3 linked regions of the Drosophila melanogaster genome follow. The protein of the gene in region 1 interacts with the protein of each later gene in a pairwise test. Each region holds a gene or a part of one and is shown in the gene's direction. Other genes may lie near its edges.

Region 1 (4,775 bases):
GCACATAGACACCGCCTATTTCTACGAGAACGAGAATGAGGTGGGTGCAGCTGTCCAGCGAAAGATTGCCGAGGGCGTTATCAAGCGGGAGGACATCCACATCACCACCAAGGTGAGTTCTGTGATTAGTCAATTATGAAATGCCCAACATCCTGAAATGGAAATCTATACTCCCCAGTTATGGTGCCACTTCCATGAGCCGAAGAGGGTGGAATATGCGTGCCGCAAGACTCTGCAGAACTTTGGTCTGCAGTACGTGGATCTCTACCTGATGCACTGGCCCTACTCCTACGTCTACCGCGGCGACAACGAGATGATGCCCACCGATGCCAAGGGGGAGGTGGAACTCAAGTGAGTTTTTAATTTAGTCAATTACTTTTCTAATGCGGGTGTGCTTCGTTTGTATTTGCTTGACTCTTAATGACCAAATTTGTGCTATTACAGCGATATCGATTACCTAGACACCTGGCGCGAAATGGAGAAGCTCGTGGAACTGGGCCTGACCAAGAGCATCGGCGTATCCAATTTCAACTCGGAACAGTTGACTCGCTTGCTGGCCAACTGCAAGATCAAGCCAATCCACAATCAGGTGCGTCAATTGTGGTTATGCCTTGGGTTTCATATTCCTAATAGACCATTTTCCAGATCGAATGTCATCCCGCGTTGAACCAGAAGAAATTGATTGCTCTGTGCAAGAAGAATGACATTGTAGTGACCGCCTACTGTCCCCTGGGCAGACCCAATCCAGCAGAAAAGACGCCCAACTACATCTATGATGCCAAGGTGCAGGCAATTGGAGACAAGTACAAGAAGTCCACCGCCCAAGTGGTGCTCCGATATCTGGTAGGGATTACGAACTAGGTTTAATGAGAACAAAAACTCTTTATTAACATAATGTTTATCGAAATAGATTGAGATTGGAACCATCCCATTGCCAAAGTCCTCAAATCCCAAGCGCATCGAGGAGAACTTCCAGATCTTCGACTTCCAGCTGGATGCTGAGGATCATGCCATTCTGGATTCCTACAACACCGGAGAACGTCTGATTCCCATGACCCACGCCATCAAAAGCAAGAACTATCCATTTAACATCGAGTTTTGAGCTGGAAAGCAGGAGCAATGTTTGATATTAATTAAAGTGGTTGTTAAATCTGATATTTTGTGTACATATACATATGTTTTTTAAAAATAAACACCAATAATAATTATTTTTGAGATCTTTTTTCATGTTGAAATATTTATGTTTATTTTGGAGATTTTTATATAACAAGCACACTTATTTTTTTTTTTTTACATAATATCGCATTAGTTTTACTTTTAAGCATTTTGATAGTACGTAATTCTTCTATTTTAGTCTTATCACTTGAACTGTTTCTTATTTGCAGTCAAGGGTGTGGCAAATATTTTAAAGGGGCATAAAATATAATAAACATTTGAAGTCATCTATGAAAACAATACGAATTCATTTTGTGATTATATACATATAATCTTAATTAAACAATACCCTTTTTTGGACACCACTGCTGAACATTTAATGATTTGAGAGAGAGCTTTTGCTCGATCATTTAGTTTTTAGTGTGGGCTTGGCATGGAAAATTCCACTTAATCAAAATCATTTGGTCTAGTACAATTTCGCCAACACTTGTCTGAATTCAATTATTCACAACTGCAAGGCAGATTGCAAAAATGAAAAGCTATAAAAGGGAAGAGAATATAAACAAACCCACATGTAATAGGTAAATAAACAAAACTAGCGATAAAGTTAACCGAATCAGCTTTGCGCGCCACTCAACTATCAAGCTATCGATAAGTGTTTTTCAAAAGTGTTCCCACATATTTTTAAATGGGATTTTACACATGATTTGGTTTGGATCATTTATAAAAAATATGTGTTTAATTTATCCTTATTAAAACATTAAAATAATGCATTTAATATATTGGTTAGCACACTTAGAACCTACGCTCCTTGCGTCTCTATAAACTATTTCCAAGTTTCTCTGCCAGCTTGGCCGTGTTTTATCTGCAAATGCAAAAGGTCTTTTGAAGGTTCTATGGGCCCATTCGAAAACCTTATAACAGAGGTGAAGCGAGCAACCCAAGCATTCAGTGTTCAACTTTGTAACCGCGAAGATGACCGGGAAAGTGGAGTACTACTTCAAGCACAACGACGGAACCCATATCCAGGGAATCGGACTGGGCACCTTCGCGGTATGACATTGACTGGTTGATCATAGCATATCCGATACGGATCAGGAATGTCGCCTATCAGTAGCCGGGTTAACGTCATTTGAAGAACCGCTAACGTTATTGATGACTTGTGATTTCAGTCGACGGAAGGCGATTGCGAACGGGCAGTTCTCCACGCGATTGATGTGGGCTACCGGCACATAGACACCGCCTACTTCTACGGAAATGAGGCCGAAGTGGGTGCGGCGGTTCGGAAGAAGATTGCCGAAGGCGTCATCAAGCGGGAGGACATATTCATCACCACCAAGGTCAGTTGGCAAGTTCTTATAGCAGGCATATCATAAACTAATCCTTAAGTGGCCACATATTTCCGCAGCTCTGGTGCAATTTCCATGAACCGGAAAGGGTGGAGTATGCCTGCCGAAAGACCTTGAAGAATATTGGCCTGGATTATGTTGACCTCTATCTGATTCACTGGCCTTTCTCCTATAAATATCGCGGTGATAACGAACTGATTCCCAAAGATGCCAATGGAGAGGTGGAACTTGTGTGAGTAAAATGAATAATATATGAAATATTTCGAATCGATTGGCACTTACAAGTGATTGTGAAATGCGCCTTCTATTATCAGTAATCTTACTATGCCGTTTACTTGCTTCAAACTACAGAGACATTGATTACCTGGACACTTGGGGCGCCATGGAGAAGTTGGTTGACCTGGGCCTGACCAAGAGCATCGGAGTGTCCAATTTCAACGAGGAGCAACTGACGCGCCTGTTGGCCAACTGCAAGATCAAGCCAATCCACAATCAAGTAACTTAGTCACAGGATGTTCCCTCCAGTTTCTCAACTCATATTGTTCTTTCTGCAGATTGAGGTACACCCCGCGTTGGATCAGAAGAAACTGATTGCCCTGTGCAAGAAGAATGGAATCCTGGTGACCGCCTTCAGTCCACTGGGCAGGCACAATGCCGAGTTGAGGACGCCCACCTTTATGTACGATGGCAAGGTTCAGGCCATCGCAGACAAGTACAATAAGTCCATTGCCCAAGTGGTGATCCGATATGTGGTAAGGATTTTCGATTTAGGCCTTATGTTGAACCGGATTTCTCATGATGAATTCTAATTTCAGATTGAGCTGGGAACCATCCCGCTGCCCAAGTCCTCCAATCCCAAGCGCATTGAGGAGAACTTCAATGTCTTCGATTTCAAGCTGGATGCTGAAGATCATGCCATCTTGGACTCGTATCACAATGGAGAACGTGTTGCCCATGCCCGACAAGCCATCAAGAGTAAATACTATCCCTTCAACGTGTATAGTGCTTGTTTTTGATACAACAAATATATTTAAGTTATTATGATTAATAAATAAATAGTAACCCTTGTAAGGGAATGCCCAAAAGCAAGAAGATTTCTAACGTCATTTACAATCGGTAAGTATTTTTCGTAAGTGTTTTGTATATGTCTTTTTTGGCCTTATCATCACAAGTACTTCCCATTGATATTCACATGGATTGGTTAATAAATCAAACAGCGCGGCACTTTTTTGTTCCAGTCATTCAGTTTTTTCTTAGAGAATGTATATATTTCTTAATGCAAAAATTTAAAAACTGATATACTTTTACAACAAAAGTGAAAACTTTTATTTTTGATTGTATTTAAATCGAAGTTGTACCCGTATCATAATGCACAATAGAACAGATAATAGAAAATAGGGTAGCGGATCCATTATGAAAGTCAAGTTCTCGATAAGAAAAATATAAGAAGTCGATTGTTTTACCCAGCTAGCTGTGAAAATAGGAAATAATATGTTTGTATTAAAATCTACCAATGTAAATAACATTAAAAGCTTTTTCTCTGCTGCATTTAAAATAAAATTGAAATGATCAATGTCATGAATAGAAAAATGTTACAGCGAATATTTTAAATTTCAATCTCGCGGTATTTTGTAACGCATTACAGTATATTTGCTGGCTGTAAGAAATATCGATAGAGCGGTTGCCGAACAATATCGATAAGTATTTATTTACTCTTCCAAATATTGTGTGATATTTTTATGTGCGCACATCCATAACAAATATCCTTGCAAATCGCCGGGAACACGACGAATTGCAGGTAAACAAGATGCCAGCAGTACGTGGACATTACAGCAGCGAAGATTACGTGGAGCAGCAACAGCAGGAGGAGTAAGTGCACACAGCGGAAGCAAGTAAATCCGTCCAATTGCCGAAAACCAGAGCGTAGCCAGCCGGAAAAGTAGAGCAGACTCTCCCAGAAATCGATGCCCCACTGCCACACAATGGTCTATATGCGAATTGTGCTAACAACCTTGGTGACCATTACGTGTCTGCTGGGGGACAACTTTGTGGAGCTGACCCAGCATCCATTGCTGAAGGCCCTGGCCGACAATGCCACCCATGCGGCCATTGGAGCACTCACGGGAATCACGTTCGCCACACAATTCTACGAGCGCACCTCGCAGTTGTTCGGCTGGATATTGATTTTCACCTGCTTCGTTGTGTCATCGTTCATTGACTTGGACCACTTTGTGGAGGCTCGTTCCCTTTATTTGGAGGTGAGTTGCAGTA
Region 2 (4,619 bases), 1.2 Mb from region 1:
TGTCAAGCAAATTTACATCTCCGAGGACCCTTTGCAGATTGTGGACAATCACTTTGAGCTGCCGCATGAGAAAGTGGACCTGCTTAGGCCTCCATCTAATTTCCCAGTGGCCGAGAGCACTTACACCCTTTGCGAGATGACATTCACATGGCACCTTTATGGCGGCCGGGATTTCCCCGATGAACCACTCAAGAAATCCTCTTCGTCGGCAACCAGTGGCTTTGGCATGTCCGATACCTACAAGTATGGCGTGTCTCAAGCTCAAGAGCAGGATAAACAGGACAAAAAGGGTTCCAAGAAGGGTCTGCTCAAACAACCCAAAGGATCGCAGCGCAATCTGGAGGTTCTAGTGGAGATGCAGCTCTCCAAGATTCGATTCTCCTACGAAACCTATCCGTTGACCTCCATGTACTCGTCCCGTCAGGTGCTCCTTGTGTCGGAAATTGAAATAAGAGATAGGTTGCGCTCCTCGGACATTAACAAGTTTCTGTACCATCCGACGGGCAACAATTTATCCCATAAGCCGGACGAGAACATGGTCATAGTGAAGGCTCTGAATGTGCGTCCGAATCCGCAAAAGAGCTCCGCGGAAGAGTGCTCCCTGAGGGTCTCCATTTTGCCCATAAAACTCAACATTGACCAGGATACTCTGCTCTTTCTCGAGGACTTCTTTTCGGGCATGTTCCGAAACTCCGCTAGTGCTGCTGGTGGCACCAAAACGGAGGGCAGCAGTTCGTCGGCCACGGATATGCCGGTGATGTCGGTGAGCAAAATGCCGGAGGAGTTATCCGATAAATTGCCCGATTCGGAAGTTAAGGAGATGGTGGAGAGGAACCTGAATGTGCTGATTGAAGAGAACAGCTTGGATGTGGAGTTGGAGGAGGATCCTGCCACGGCTCCACCTGTGTTCTTCCGCGAGGTGATCTTCAGTCCAGCACTACCCATTTGCTTTGACTATCATGGACGGCGGATTGAACTCTCCCGCGGACCGGTCACCGGCCTAATCATGGGTCTTGCCCAGCTGCAGGGATCCGGAATTAATTTGAGGGAAATTGTGAACCGCAGAGGCATTCTGGGATGGAACAAACTGTGCGAGTTCCTGGCCAAGGAGTGGCTGAAGGACATCAAGCGGAATCAATTGCCCAATATCCTAAGCGGGATTGGACCCACGAATGCGGTGCTGCAGCTTTTCCAGGGTATCTACGATCTTTTCCGGCTGCCCATCGAGCAGTACAACAAGGATGGACGAATTATCAGGGGATTCCAGTTGGGTGCCCAGAGTTTCACCGCTCGCACAGCGCTGGCTGCCTTGGAGATCACCTCCAGGATTATACACCTGCTGCAATTCACGGCGGAGACTACCTTCGATATGCTATCTGCAGGTCCTTCCATGAAGAAGCGGAAGGGCGGCAGGCAGGGCAAACGGAGGCGACAGGGACGACCCAAGGACCTGCGCGAGGGCGTGGCCAACGCCTATACCATAGTGAGAGAGGGCATCAACGAATCGGCCAACACACTCATCGAAGCCGCCATCACGGAGCACGACCAGAAGGGCTACAGCGGAGCGGTGGGCGCGGTGGTACGCCAGATCCCTCAGCTGGTCGTCTGCCCGGCGGTGCTGGCCACCCAGGCCACCACCAACATCCTGGGCGGCGCCAAGAGCTCGCTGATTCCGGAGGCCAAACTGGAGGCGCGCGACAAGTGGAAGCAGGAGATCCACTAGGCAACTGCTTCACAGATCGACTAGGTTAACGGTAGCTATAGTTCACGGGGCTTACAGCATAACGCAATGTTTTCTATTGTTTTACTAATAATAAATAATGTACATAAAAGGAGCACTTGCACGAGACGGCGAGGTGACGAGGGATTTGGGATCCCGAACGGTGATTCCGACATGGGTGTGATTGAACTTATCCTTTTTAGCCATATTACAGTACATGAGAGTTATATTTTTTATTATTTTACCTGAATAAATATATATATATATAAAAGAAAAAGATGACGTATTTCTTCATGGTGCTGCTAAAAGTTTAAGAACGGATACTATTCTAGCAAAATTTAACCGAACTACCAGAATTTATTAAACCCTCAGCTAAAAATGAAGTACAAATAAAAACAACTAGCAGTTTACAAAATGATTTAAAAAGACGTTACTTTTATTTGTATGCTTCTCTGTGAATGGCAAGTTTCTGTAAACAGCTGATTGCTTGCTATTCGGCGCGAATGAATGTTCGTTGGCGCATGGTTTACGTAAAAGCCGCATAAATCGCTGGAAATATTAGTTAAAATTAGGTATCTAAGCTTAAAATTAAACATAAAACCATGTCCAGTGCGCTGACTCGCCTGTTGGAGCGCCTGCCACTGAAAAAACAGACGGCGCAAAGCGGTATTCGTGTTTTTTCCAACCAGGAGCAGCGGCAAGAAATTGAGGATGATGAAGGTAAACAATTAAGTTTCCCTGGCTTACACGTTTTATAATGGATATATCTTCCTGATCGGCCAGAATTCCGAGTGCTCAGCCTGCGGACGGTGAAGCAGCAGATGCAGAAGCGCCAGCAGGTCCGTCGGGATCCCATCACACCGCCGCGCACTGGCCGCATGGCGGTGGATCAGGACTGGACGGCCGTTTGGCCAGGACCACGTTCGTTCCACCCGGCCAGTGTGCCTCTGCCACTGCGGCAGGGATTCACGGAACGCGGAGCAGCAGCTCCGTCGAAGTTCGCCAATGCAGAGCTGATGAAGATACCCAACTTTCTGCACTTGACACCGCCGGCCATCCGTCAGCAATGCGAAGCCATCAAGAAGTTCTGCACGCCATGGCCAAAGGGTCTGGAGACAGAGGCCAAGTGGCAGCGCCACTTCCCCCTGGAGGTCACCACCACAGACTACTGCCAGAGTTTGCCCACGATCAGGAATCCGGAGGCCAGGCGCGTCACCATTACCCTGAAGCTCTCTGACCTGAAGTTCGATGCGCACGCCAGGGATAAGTTCCTGCGCCTGGTGGGCGATCGCTACAACAAGGACACGGACCTCGTTACCTTCGTCACGGATCGCTGTCCGCAGAAGAAGCAGAACTACGACTACGCCCTGTATCTGCTCACCGCTTGCTATCACGAATCCTTTGTCACCGAGCCGTGGGAGGCCACCAAATCGGAGGCCGACATGGAGGTCTATCTGTTCGAGCGTAACCAGTCGAAGGTCTCCGCCGAGGGAATCCTCAACTGGAACGCCAAGAAGGGTGCTCCAAAAGTGGTTCCCAGCAAGTCATTCGCTGAATGCGTGGAGAAACTGATAAACGAAGGCGAAAACGAGTACAACTTGGGCAAATACAAGGAGGAGGTCAAGAAGATGTTGAACATTGCCTAGGAAACTGGATAGTTGAGTGAACCAATAAAGCGAGAAGTTGTTAAAAAATAATCATAACAAGTATTTGAATGTTACAATATTTATCTTGTTAATAATTTTGAATTGAAACTGGGCAACCATGTAATCCCCCTTTACGACGCCCCTCCTTCGTTGTGAATGTCCGAACAGCTGTTTACAATGAAGGCGTGCCCGTGTGAATGGCATTAGAACAGCGCCAAGAACAGAACCAAAAAAACCGAATTTCCGCGGACGTGGAAGCAAACTTTTGTTTTGCTATGCTAATTAGTATTTTAGTAGTTAATAAGTTTATTCAACCCCGTTTGGATGGAGCTTTGAGTAGAATACAGTCGTAGAGAGGTGAGAACAAACTCCTGATAAGAATTCACCTGCTGATGACGTTTCACCTGATTAAAATTATAAAATCCGGAATTATAAACAAAGTTAGTCGCTGAAGTGTTTCTAAGTTATAGTACATTCATTGACATATGTCTGCGATAAGGTAACTATCCAGCGGATGTTCCTTCAGCGCAGTTAAATATCATTTCTATTATCTTAACTTTCGTATTGGTGAAAATGACTCGCCGCTTATCTTGTATTTTTTGTATGTGCGACCCAAAAAGATACATATGTGCTTACGTTTCTGAATTTTTCTACTTTTCTACTATTCTCTTTCACCCACAGACCACGTTGCAGTGCCGCCAGATAAAGAGACAAGCCAGCAAACATCCGCAGCACCTGAGCTAACAAACCAATATCACCATTACCGCGAGATATACTTCACCGACATTAATGGTTGACGTAGAGACCCGTAGAGCGCACACGTAGCCACGGATATCCGGCAAAGATGCGGCGACCCAATCTCAAGTGGATAGTGAAGGCCTCGCTGCTCTTGTTGATCTCACTGACTCTCTTCGTACTGATAACCAGCTGGATCTCATCTACTCCGTACACCAACAAGCCAGTCCATCATGGCGTGGAGCCCGTGCCCGAAAAGGCTGGCCTTTCCGGCGATGTCAAGGTGAAGGTGCCAGCTATAAAGCAACCAGAACCTCAGAAACCACAGGAACCCGACTTCGAAGAGGATCCTGAGCTGCAGAAGATCGATGAGCCCGAACCGGTGGAGGAAGAAGTCGATAATCCGCATCCGGCGGACGACGAACCGCAACAGCAGCCCCAGGAGGAGCTCCAAATGGCTGCGCCGGCGGACGCTTCGGTGAAGAAGGACTGGCACGACTATACTTTCATGGAAAAGG
Region 3 (4,745 bases), on another chromosome or scaffold:
GTGTGTTATTTTATCTTTGAATTACTATCGCGTCGTTTGCTATAAGGCAATTTGTTATGACGAAAGCAAGTTCTAGTTGACTTCACTTTACTTTCTACATCGGTTCTATTAAAAATATAATAGGGAATTATTATTATTATTTTAAAATAAATAGTAGCACCTAGTAGCAGTTGTAAGCTAATACGTCATTCTGGGATTTCGGATTTATTTTTAATTAGCATAGGCAATTTTGAAAATGTTTTATTTTATTAAAGATTGAATCCGAATTCGAAATTGTTCTGGATTGATCAAGTTGGCGCTTAACAGCTGGCGATAATGCCAAATGAGATAATGAGATTTGGCCCGAAAATGTCTTATTTTTGTATACTTATGTTACATTTAAGTATTTAAAAATATAAATTAAAACATATATTTTTTTGCCCAGATCGAGATGAGCGAACCCCAAGAAGGCAGAAATCAGTTTGCGCGAAATCTGATAGATGTCATTACCAAAGATGCCCTGCAACAGAGCAAAGACCCCCACATAAATACGGTTTTCTCTCCAGCATCCGTCCAAAGTGCATTGACCTTGGCATTTATGGGGGCTTCCGGATCTACAGCAGAGGAGCTAAGGAATGGGCTTCAGCTAGGACCAGGAGATCGCCATCACATAGCCCTAAACTTCGGAGAGTTCTGGCGCACGAGCTGTAACTACGGCGACAGGGGACCCGTGTTGAAGTCCGTGAACCGATTGTACGTCAACGATTCCTTGGAACTGCTTACCGAGTTCAACGAGATCGCCGTGGACTTCTTCCAGTCGAAGGCCGAGGCGACGAGGTTCGCCGATTCGGAGGGAGCTACGCAGCTGATCAACGACTGGGTGGAACAGGAGACGGAGCATAAGATCACCAACCTGCTTCAATCGGATGCCGTGAACAACGAAACGAGCGCCCTGCTCATCAATGTCTTGTACTTTAAGGGAAAGTGGCAGAAACCATTTATGCCAGAGACCACATCGATTGACCATTTCCACGTGGACCGGGACACTCACGTGCAGGTGAATATGATGTACCAAGAGGACAAGTTCCGGTTCGCAGAACTGCCACAGCTGAAGGCTCGAGCTGTGCAACTGCCCTATGATTACTCAAACATTCACATGCTAATTCTGCTGCCCAACGAAGTAAACGGTCTGCAGGAGTTAGAGCAGCAACTCAACACCGTGGATCTAGCCGATATTGACGCAGCGCTGACCTTGCAGGATGTCGAGATCTTTCTGCCCAGGATGTGCATAGAGTACGACGTGGACCTCAAGCAGGTACTTAATCAGGTAAGATACATTTAACCGATAATAGTGGCTTTGTTTTAATAACAATGTAATATCTGATATTTATTCTCAGCTGGGTATTACGGAAGTCTTCAGCGATAAGGCCAAGCTAGACGGGCTCTTTACCTCGCAAAGTGGCCAAAAAATCTCGGCAGCAAGGCACCGCGGCTACATCGACGTAAATGAGGCAGGATCGGAGGCAGCAGCAGTCAGTTGTAAGTGAAATCAGCTGCTTGCAACTCAAACTTGCTCGTACTAATCTCAACTCTGATTCCCACACTCAGTCATGAAGATAGTACCCATGATGCTCAACATGAACAAGAAGCTCTTCAAGGCGGATCACCCGTTCGTCTTTTACATACGAAACCCGCAGGCCGTCTTCTTCGCCGGCCGATTCTCGAACCCCAAGTCTGGATCTGGATCAGGAGAGGAGGGCTTGTCACGGGAAGGTTTCGATGCCAACATGTACAATGTCTAAGAACAGCAGTGAGACCGAATAGAACTCAGCTATGAAATCCCACTAGACGTCATTGGATTTCAATCCGAGAGAGCTGTGTGCGCAGTTCTCAGTAACGTAATGAAGTATCGCCAGTAGGTACATATATGTCCAGTGCATATATGAGCTCGTCTTGGCACTCGGCGCTCAGTTTACAGAGATACTTATCTCGGGGAAGAGTTCGTTGTAGACGGTCAAATGTATTACTTGTGTAAGTGGCGATCGCTTATAGCCAGTGAATTAAAATACAAAGCAATAAATTACCTATAATAACTTATGATTTAAATTAAATTCATAGAAAATAATAAAACAATATGGTGAAGACGTTTGCTATGGCATTAACTTTTAACTTACAAAGACTATCCGCTTTCGTTGAATTCGATTTGCTTTAGTCTGTAAAAGTAAAAAATATCAAGTTTAATATGCATGAACAGAATTTCCGAACGCTGAAAACGAATTGATAATTAACATCCCCAAACTAGGCATTTTCCTGTGGGTCACTTCAGTGGCATGTCAGACCTCCAAAGAGATCTACCAACTACTTTCCAAGAGCCATACAAACCAGAACCTCGTCGTCTCGCCCGTCTCCATAGAGACCATCCTTAGCATGGTCTTCATGGGCGCAGAAGGCTCGACGGCCAAGGAGCTGCAGAGCGCCTTAGGTTTACCATCGGAGGACAAAGAGGCGGTGGCAGCCAGGTACGGTGCTCTCCTCAACGATCTTCAGGGACAGGAGGAGGGACCCATACTAAAGCTCGCGAATCGCATCTACGTCAACGACCAGTACAGCCTGAATCAGAACTACAACCTCGCTGTGAGGGAACCCTTCAAGTCCGAGGCGGAGTCCATTAGTCTGACCAATGGCCCTGTGGCGGCCGAGAGAATCAACCAGTGGGTGCTGGATCAGACCAGTGGTAAAATCAAGGGCATGATCGATCCCGGCAGCATGACGTCCGACGTGAAGGCCTTGCTGGTGAACGCCATCTACTTTAAGGGCCAGTGGGAGTCGAAGTTTGACCCAGCTAAGACCAGAGCCTCCACCTTCCAAGTAACTGCGAACAAGAGTGTGCCCGTCCAGATGATGGCGCAAATGGGAACATTCAGGGCTAACTACTTCCGCGATCTAGATGCCCAAGTCATCGAGCTGCCGTACCTTAACTCCAACCTGTCCATGACTATCTTTCTGCCCCGAGAAGTGGAGGGCTTGAGCGCCCTGGAAGAGAAGATCGTTGGCTTCGCCAGGCCGCTGGTTGCCAAGGAGGTCTATCTTAAGCTGCCCAAGTTTAAAATCGAATTTCGTGATGAACTCAAAGAGACCTTAGAGAAGGTAAGACTCCGTCAAGAAAAACACGGTTGTGCCACTTTGACGCTCGATTCTATTTAAGCTGGGCATCCGAGAGCTATTCACCGACAAGTCAGACTTAAGCGGCTTGTTCGCCGATAAGTCAGGCGGCAAAGTCAGTCAGGTCTCGCACAAGGCGTTTCTGGAGGTGAACGAGGAGGGAGCGGAGGCCGCAGGTGCCACATGTAAGTACCGATTTGGTTATCAGCGTCGAATGTTGACTCCTATATACTCACTGTTCCCAATGATTCCCAGCTGTGGCCGTCACAAATCGAGCGGGATTTTCTACGTTCCTCATGGCCGATCATCCCTTTGCCTTCGTCATTCGCGATGCGAACACCATATATTTCCAGGGGCGTGTTGTAAGCCCTTGAATAAATAAAAACAATATTTAAATTTTAAATTAAAATTCCAAGCGGAGTGATTACATTTTAAGTTAAGGATCAATGTGGACAGCAGTCCACGTTGTGACGGAAGGGTAACGCAGCGAAGGTAGGTTGTCCAGTAGGTTGGTAATAGGGAGTAGAAGTGGTATTTTGCCAAAAATAAAAAGTGTAATGATTTCTGATTCTTCGTTCGGAAAAGTTTCAAATATGTTAATTTTAACTCATTTAAATACGCCATGTATTTTAAGTGTCCTGGTGAACCGAGCGATTTTATTATTATTATATATTAAAAAAAAACGACTAGTTTAGCGGAGAAAAAACACTAAAAAGTTAAACATCCACCACCAATGAACCTAGAAGCATTCGATAAAAGTCGTTAAAAAGGCAATTTAAAACACTATTCTCGGTTCCTAAACGTATTATGTCTAAATACCACAGATAAAAAACAAGTGAAAAGCCTTTCTCGAGTCCCTCGCGTACCTGCAAATTGGAAGTGGTATGTATGTGATATTCGAGCTACTCGACTACGGCGGTCTCTCCAGTTTTTAATAAACAAAATTGATATTTTTAAGCCGATACTAACGTAAAAAAAAAGTAAAAAGACATTCACATGCTAGCGATGGACTTAAAATCTCTTGGGAAACAGAAATTAATTTCCCCACAGTGTGCCGTTGTAGGGCCAGAAAGAAAATCAGTCTTCAGTTCGAGGCAGAACTTTTAATACGTGGACGGTTTTTGTAGCCATTGAAATCAGCGCTCCACGAACTTAACTACAATCAAATCCTCTACAGATAATTAAGGTAACTGTACATACACACATATATGTATGTACTTGCTGATCTAGTATACATACTTAGAAATTAATTTTTTCACTTTCGATGTGATTTCCGGAGAGAGGAGTATTTCTATTTGTAAACAAAATGACATAATTGCTTGTCAACATCTGCAAAATTAAGAGAGCCTTTTCGGAAGAGAATGATTGCCAAGTAAAGAGAACCAGAAACACAGTGCTCTCTCTTAACATAATTCCCAATTTTGATTATTTGAGTCACCACCAACTAATAAAACGGATCTACAAATGAGCCACTAATAAATGAAGACTTATTAGTGGCTTTTAACTATGCAAACATTCTTATTATATAGACATATAATAACATATATCTATTTTAGTTTAGTGACCTTAATGAGTGTAAAAATTAAAAGGGTTGGAAATTTATA

What was found. The genes of interacting proteins can lie anywhere in the genome.
Region 2: the proteins of CG12766 (region 1) and mRpS35 interact in a two-hybrid assay, tested with the Drosophila melanogaster proteins (one large-scale study listed by BioGRID).
Region 3: the proteins of CG12766 (region 1) and Spn42Dd interact in a two-hybrid assay, tested with the Drosophila melanogaster proteins (one large-scale study listed by BioGRID).

The regions. Positions count from the first base shown.
Region 1 is NT_037436.4:3,937,440-3,942,214, reverse strand, and holds CG12766 (uncharacterized protein), read left to right. Parts: upstream 1-2,089; 5' UTR 2,090-2,130; coding exon 2,131-2,208; intron 2,209-2,327; coding exon 2,328-2,495; intron 2,496-2,563; coding exon 2,564-2,736; intron 2,737-2,855; coding exon 2,856-3,000; intron 3,001-3,058; coding exon 3,059-3,256; intron 3,257-3,319; coding exon 3,320-3,520; 3' UTR 3,521-3,591; downstream 3,592-4,775. Other genes in the region: CG10863 (uncharacterized protein), read left to right, coding at 1-112, 179-351, 445-589, 646-843, 911-1,102; CG10866 (uncharacterized protein), read left to right, coding at 4,469-4,762.
Region 2 is NT_037436.4:2,778,691-2,783,309, forward strand, and holds mRpS35 (mitochondrial ribosomal protein S35), read left to right. Parts: upstream 1-2,208; 5' UTR 2,209-2,322; coding exon 2,323-2,440; intron 2,441-2,503; coding exon 2,504-3,366; 3' UTR 3,367-3,415; downstream 3,416-4,619. Other genes in the region: Atg2 (Autophagy-related 2), read left to right, coding at 1-1,723; Pgant6 (polypeptide N-Acetylgalactosaminyltransferase 6), read left to right, coding at 4,211-4,619.
Region 3 is NT_033778.4:6,881,333-6,886,077, forward strand, and holds Spn42Dd (serpin 42Dd), read left to right. Parts: upstream 1-1,947; 5' UTR 1,948-1,997; coding exon 1,998-2,010; exon of another isoform or gene 2,011-2,075; intron 2,076-2,281; coding exon 2,282-3,126; intron 3,127-3,184; coding exon 3,185-3,326; intron 3,327-3,396; coding exon 3,397-3,515; 3' UTR 3,516-3,541; downstream 3,542-4,745. Other genes in the region: Spn42Dc (serpin 42Dc), read left to right, coding at 431-1,306, 1,377-1,518, 1,588-1,781.